Medicago truncatula: one gene and its partner. The protein of the gene in region 1 binds, or shares a complex with, the protein of each later gene. Links are inferred from orthologs where the notes say so. Each region holds a gene or a part of one and is shown in the gene's direction. Other genes may lie near its edges.

Region 1 (3,757 bases):
AAAACAACACAACACTAGGCTACCATGATTTCCACCAAAACACAAATACATTATTTTTAATATTAAAACAAAAAAAAATGCAATTGTTTACTATGGTATCATAATTTTCGTTATTTGATTAGTCGTACAAAATATCACTTCTCATATATTATTCATTATTACGTGAGATGCATGACACAAAAGTCTCATGTAATACATGAGAAATAAGGGAGATAAGCATATTTCACAAAATATATTTGTGATTCATGCTTATATAGTTGGTGGTGTTTATTTTTAGAGATAGTTGGTGCTGATGTTTATGATTGGAATGCATCATATTTAACCAGTAGGAATGTGAGAAAATCAACAATGCGTGATGATTACCTTACAATCAAAGATTCAAAATTGATTTTTCAATTTAAATTAATGATACATTAATTTTGCTTTCATCTTTTATTTAACTAATAAAGCATGCACTCACCAAAATCTCATATGTTTCTAAATGCATTTCTTTGTTAATTAATTCAAACAAGTTGTGAATCAATTCACAACATCAAATATTGTATTAACTAATTTCTAACAAAATTTTATTTGAACAACAACTTTGTTAGTTTTGAGAAAAATTAATTTGCAGTGTTATTTTGGGTTGTTTGACCTAATGTTTCTTAGATTTATTTATATATTATGCAATGGACAAGATAATAAACATATATAAGATCTATTATAAAAAAAATAGATCTGATCTATTATACTGGTGATTCCTTTTCAAATACATATAAGTCTTAGTTTTTCTTATTTTTTAGAAAAGTTTCGGAGGAATCTGATCAAGGAGCAATGCTATATATCAAGAAAGATTTTTTTAAGAAAATTTTAAGAATGACATGGCAGAATAATCATCCTTAGATTTTATCAAGAAATAGTTCTGAAATTAATGTTAACCAATAAAATCTCAGTCTGGCCGGAAATCATGGGGTGATGGGTGTTATGTATCTTTTTTTTATGAAAGATTTGAGACTGAAATCTAAAGGTGATTATTGTGCCATGTCATTCTTGAATTTTTCTTATAAAATCATTCTTGATATCTAGCATTTTCCCTGATCAAGTATCTCGAAAACTGAATTGTTTTACTTTCAGCATACCATAACTCAGCGACAGTTGCTAGCGAGCGGTTGTTAAATGTCGTTGATACTTAACTGCCACTAGGGTCATTAAGGTAAATTTTAGGTGTGATTGAGCAATTTTCAAAGTGAGAAGAACAAAATCCTAATAAAAAAAGTCCAAGCCCAAACCCAATTTTTTGGTGGTGACCGAGTTTTAAATCTCGAACTTTTAATCTCTACCAAAGCTAAGTTCACAAGAACATCACATCAGAGACCTATTTAATTATATCCCATGTTTTTTCACAGAAAATAAATAGGAAAAGGAAACGATTTTTTTTTTTAAAGAGGAAACCAATTTTCTTAAGTCGGTTTTCACGCATCTCTTATATTCTTCTTAATCTCCATCAACCAAAAACGAAACCTTGCGACGTTAATTCTCTATAACCAAAAACCATGGTATTCATCGTTCCACCCACCGGAAAAATCCTCTCCCTCGACATAAACCCTAACACCACCACTCTCCACAATCTCAAAACTGAAATCGAAAATTTCCACGGAATTCCAATTTCACACCAACGATTATTCCTTTCACAGAGTCTCAAATTACTCGCCGATAACGATTCAACCCTAATCTCAAATCTCGGTGTTGGAAATTACTCAACCCTAACCCTACACGTCCCCTTTTACGGCGGAACACAACCACCCGCCGTCCCCAAACCGCCTCGTTTCGATTTTCTTAATTCCAAACCGCCTGCTAATTATGTTGCCGGACTTGGTCGTGGTGCCACCGGGTTTACTACCCGGTCTGATATTGGTCCGGCGCGTGCTGCGCCGGATCTTCCTGATAGATCAGCACCAGGTGCCGCACCAGCTGGTGCGGCTCCCATTGGGAGAGGGAAAGGTAGGGAGGATGTTGCTGAGGAAGATGATGAAGGGGAGGATAAGGGGTATGATGAGAATCAGAAATTTGATGAGTTTGAAGGGAATGATGTGGGGTTGTTTGCTTCTGCTGAGTATGATGAGGATGATAGAGAAGCTGATGCTGTTTGGGAAGGGATTGATAAGAGGATGGATTCGAGGAGGAAGGATCGGAGAGAGGCGCGGTTGAAGGAGGAGATTGAGAAGTATAGAGCTTCGAATCCGAAGATTACTGAGCAGTTTGCTGATTTGAAAAGGAAGTTGTATACTTTGTCTACTGATGATTGGCAGAGTTTGGAGAAGTTTGAGAGTGGTGGTTATTCGTCAAAGAATAAGAAGAAGAGGTTTGAGAGTTTTGTTCCTGTGCCTGATACGCTTCTTGAGAAAGCGAGGCAGGAGCAAGAGCATGTGACTGCGTTGGATCCTAAGAGTAGGGCTGCTTCGGCGAATGGGACTGAGACTCCGTGGTCACAGACGCCGGTTACTGATTTGACTGCTGTTGGTGAGGGGAGAGGGACTGTTTTGTCGTTGAAATTGGATAGGTTGTCCGATTCAGTTTCTGGGATGACTAATGTTGATCCGAAGGGGTATCTTACTGTTTTGAATAGTATGAAGATTACTAGTGATGCTGAGATTTCTGATTTTAAGAAGGCTAGGTTGTTGTTGAAGAGTGTTACTCAGACGAATCCGAAACATCCTCCTGGTTGGATTGCTGCTGCAAGGTTGGAGGAGTTGGCGGGTAAGCTTCAGGCGGCTAGGCAGTTGATACAGAAAGGGTGTGAAGAATGTCCCAAGAATGAAGATGTGTGGTTGGAGGCTTGTAGATTGGCAAATCCCGATGATGCCAAGGCTGTGATAGCTCAGGGTGTTAAGTCAATTCCCACTTCAGTTAAGTTGTGGATGCAGGCTTCGAAATTGGAAAACGATGATATGAATAGAAGTAGGGTGTTGAGGAAAGGGTTGGAGCACATTCCTGATTCTGTTAGGTTGTGGAAGGCTGTTGTGGAGCTTGCAAATGAAGAAGATGCTAGACTTTTACTTCACAGAGCTGTGGAATTTTGTCCATTGCATGTAGAATTGTGGCTTGCGCTTGCTAGGTTGGAAACTTATGACAATGCCAAGAAGGTTCTCAATAAGGCAAGAGAGGGGCTGCCCAAGGAGCCAGCAATATGGATAACGGCCGCCAAGTTGGAAGAAGCTAATGGGGGGGCTAAAGAGTTTATTACATTGGCCGATGGGACGAAGGTAAACAAGGTTGAAACGATTACTAGAAGGGGTATAAGGGCTTTGCAAAATGGAAATATGGTGATTGATAGAGAAGCTTGGATGAAGGAAGCTGAGGCGGCAGAACGAGCTGGTTCAGTTGCAACATGCCAGGCAATAATCAAATGTACTATTGGAATTGGAGTTGAAAAAGAAGATAGGAAGAGAACATGGGTTGCCGATGCTGAGGAATGCAAGAAAAGAGGTTCTATTGAGACTGCTAGAGCTATATATGATCACGCCTTAAGTGTCTTCTTAACTAAGAAGAGCATATGGATCAAAGCAGCACAACTTGAAAGGAGTCATGGTACCAGGGAAACTCTTGATTCATTACTTCGCAAAGCAGTTACCTACAGACCACAGGCTGAAGTTCTTTGGCTTATGGGTGCCAAGGAGAAGTGGCTTGCTGGAGATGTGCCTGCCGCCCGTGCAATTCTCCAAGAAGCTTACGCTGCTATTCCCAATTCAGAGGAAATATGGCTTGCGGCTTTTAAACT
Region 2 (3,757 bases), on another chromosome or scaffold:
AATCATATTTTTTTTTTCTCATATTTTTTGTTTTGTTCGGAATATGAATCATCTATCAACTAACATGTATTGTCGATTGTCTGTAGTTGACTAAATGAACGATACATGTCGTACAAAACCATCATGTGACATTAGGGGATTTGAATCCAAAATTGTAGGTTAGTTGAGTTTTGGAGATCACCATAGTCAGGACATGGCTTCAAGATTCAGCGAACAACAAACATTAATAAAGTTACGTATAGATCTTCCATTAAAAAAGTTTTCACATTAACAACTTAAACTGAGCTAACGATTTTCATTGTCAAATTTATGAATTATTTTGAGCTCTTATATTTAGAGAATTATATTCTTCAACGCTCTTTCAAAACTTCATTTTCTTTATATTTCTTTATTCCTATCACAACATTATTCGATTACATTTCTATCTTTATTTCTTTCACTCTCAATGTATATATAGGATGCATGAGTGTATATGGATCATTTTCCATAGATATACGGCATTTGAACAACTGTACATAATTTTCAATTTTATTTTTGTACAAATATGCAAATATTATCTTGATTTTAATTTATCGTATACTTCTTCGGGTGTTTCTCTTTAGATCCCTTCAATATTTCTAAGGTCTCCTAAATACATATTCGATAGTTATTTATCGGATGTACAATTTTTTGAAAAACGTATATCCGGTAGATAACTATCAGATGTATATTTAGGGGACTTTAAAGATATTAAGGGGGGCATAAAGAGAAATGTTCTACTTCTCCTTTAACCTGGGTTACACCTTATGCTGGGCTTGGGCAGCTAGCCCCAATTTGAAGCCCATTTAGATTGAAAATAGGCCCACAAGAATTACCAGTAGTCTTCTTTCTTTCTGATCGCAACGAAGAAAAAACAATGATCTGACAAAAAAAGTAAAAATCTCCATTAATTCCCCCCAAAAAGAACACGAAGAGAGAAGAAGTAACAGAGCTTGTTTCAATTCTGGTGAATTAGGGTTTTCAAAATTGAACAGAGTTTGGTGAATTACCTCTCAAGCTTAGCTTCCTCCGCTCTTCATTCAAACCCTAATTTGCTACCATGACTGAGGTTTGATCAACAAAATCTTACTCAAAATTTCAATTTATTATTCTAAAAATGCATCATTTTCGTATTCCCTTAACAATATTATGTCACTTCATATCAAAAACACAAAAAAAAAAATGTTTTTTTGACTTGGGTCTTGTAGTTTAGATGCACTTTGTTTGGCTGTGACTTGTACCTAATAATTTGTTTTCACTTTGTGTTAATTATGAACTGTTTTTCTCGTTTTTGCAGTACTGGGTAAGTCAGGGAAACAAATGGTGCGATGTGTGCAAAATTTACATATCAAACAACCCTTCCAGCATCAGAAATCATGAGCTTGGCACAAGGCACAAGGAAAATGTTACAAAGCGGCTCGCGACTATGCGAAAAGAGAATGCTGCTAAAGATAAAGAACACAAAGAAACGGCTAATGCTCTTGTGCAAATCGAGGCGGTAAGACTTTTATTCTTATTAAAAATATGATTGTTTCTGTTGCGATGCATATGTTTATTTTCATTTCATTGGAAAGGTTACTAGAAAATTTGAATGTGTTGTTAATGAATATTATTTGAATAATAGCCTTTTTAAATTCGGAATTTACTTATGAAAAAAAAGTTCACATTGATAGAAAACTTTGGGTTATATCAGTAAGCAGGCCAAGCCTTGTCTTGTATCTTCAATTCTTAGCAATATAACATTACTGGAGTAATATTTTCAATAGATTTATAATATTCAATATATATAACATTACTGAAACTCCACTTTAGAGAAGCTGTGTTTTTCAATCAAGTGCTCAGGGATCTATCGTATAAACTGTATTTGTTCCATACATTAGTTTGCATGTACTGTACATAATTTTCCTGAGAAGAACTTATTTTTATTTCGTGGTTTTTATATTTTATTCTTTAGCATTACCATAAGTAAGTGAACGGGGCTGAGTTGTTCTCATTTGATCTGTAGTCTAGACTTGAAATAAGAAGGTTTTCTGGGTTCATATTAGAGTTAATAATGCAGAAAGGAGAAGAATATGCCAAATTATTTTGAATCCATATTAATGATTTTTTTTTTCCTTAAAAAAAAAAAATCATTTTCAACACAACATCAACTGCATGATTCATTTCCAACTGAAAGTCGGTCATGCAGAAGGGTTTTTCATTCTCATTGTTTTACATTGACGTCAATTTAGTAAATTTTAAACTACATTATATTAAGTATCGTTTAATCTTTTCAAACTAACAAATTTCTTCTCTAATTTAACCCTCAAATAATTAGTTTATGCATCAATCATATTTTATCTGGAACAAAAGGTTAAGCTATTGAGTGAATGCACATAATTTATCTAGAACAACACTCATGCAAAAGCCCTTTGGGCTTGAAGTTGACAAGTGTCAAGTAACGTACACATGTACTTTGTGCTGCAATTTAACATTTATTTACAACTTACAAGAATGAGAGCGATAAACTCGTACTCAGTTCTACCCCAAAAAGATTATACTATTGGATTAAAACATTAATGGTTTTATATGTAATATATCTTACAATTCTAAAATCAAACAATTTCACAATATATTACTTATTTAGCACGTCCTTTTCCATTTTAATGTCTAAATTAAGACATGTGAATCTTCAATGAAATATTAAACTATCACTTTTATCCTTCAAATTATGTATTTTGGAACCCAACAATCTCTAACCTTGTCATCCACGAGCTTTCTTCAATGTTTTCAATTCATATTCTCCTTCATTGTTCAAAAACAAATATCCCAAATCACGATCAAGATATTACTTAAATCAAATATTACTTAGCAATATCTCAAATCAAATATCCCAAATCACGATCAAGATATTACTTAGCAATATCCCAAATCAAATATTCATACTTGCACCATTGTTCTTTGGAAGCCAATGCTTGGCTTCCATGTCAAGAAAAACTCAAATTGTTCGACTTATGATTATAAAAAAAAATAACTTTCATCATCAGATTGACTTTTTACACTAAAGGCCAACAGACAGTGTATCGTCGTGTGTTTTCTCGATTCATAGCTCTTGTAACATTTGTTGGGAGAGTGTCACATCCCTGTCTACCCATGCTTGTATAAATACCACCAGTAAGTAATCACTAAAACTACACAATTAAACATGGTTCTTTTGTCCTACATGCTTACATCCAAAGACTACTATCAACACCATATTACCATATAATGTTTGTGGACACACCAAATCACATCCATCCCATCTGATTTACTCTTGTTTTTACTCTTCTTTTCATTGGTACTCATTTTTGGCATCTCCAGCCTCGTTGAGTTTCCTTCCGAATCATGTCTTGCCTAGCCCATATTATATTTTCCTTTCTGAAAGACCGACTCATCTGTAAAAATCTTAAATCTACGCAAGTTTTTGATTGAGAGGAAGTGTTAGATTGATATCATAATATTTATTGTATCTTAAATATTACAGTATCTTAGTCAATCTCTTATTAGAATATGCTGAGACAGAGAGAGAATTGAATTACCAGCATGAATGAAAACTAATCTGCATGATTCTTGTTAGGAAAATGTCTACGTTGTGCTTAGATAGCATGTCATGAACCGACTATCCCATAAGTTTATTCTATTTTCGTGAAAGATTTGATACATGTCATGAACCAACTATGCCTAAAGCATGGGCTATTAAATGAAGGGACATGCTCATTGT

The links.
Region 2: protein STABILIZED1 (region 1) and zinc finger protein ZOP1 share a complex: the UniProt entries of both Arabidopsis thaliana proteins name them as parts of the pre-mRNA splicing complex. The link is inferred for Medicago truncatula from reciprocal best matches to the Arabidopsis thaliana genes EMB2770 and AT1G49590.

What each region holds. Positions count from the first base shown.
Region 1 is NC_053048.1:31,976,056-31,979,812, reverse strand, and holds the start of protein STABILIZED1, read left to right. Parts: upstream 1-1,406; 5' UTR 1,407-1,532; coding exon 1,533-3,757. UniProt on the Arabidopsis thaliana protein: Pre-mRNA splicing factor required for splicing and for the turnover of unstable transcripts. May be a U5 snRNP-associated protein involved in the formation of U4/U6-U5 tri-snRNP. Involved in responses to abiotic stresses.
Region 2 is NC_053045.1:41,915,505-41,919,261, reverse strand, and holds the start of zinc finger protein ZOP1, read left to right. Parts: upstream 1-867; 5' UTR 868-1,078; coding exon 1,079-1,087; intron 1,088-1,315; coding exon 1,316-1,516; intron 1,517-3,757. UniProt on the Arabidopsis thaliana protein: Nucleic acid-binding protein that promotes Pol IV-dependent small interfering RNA (siRNA) accumulation, DNA methylation and transcriptional silencing.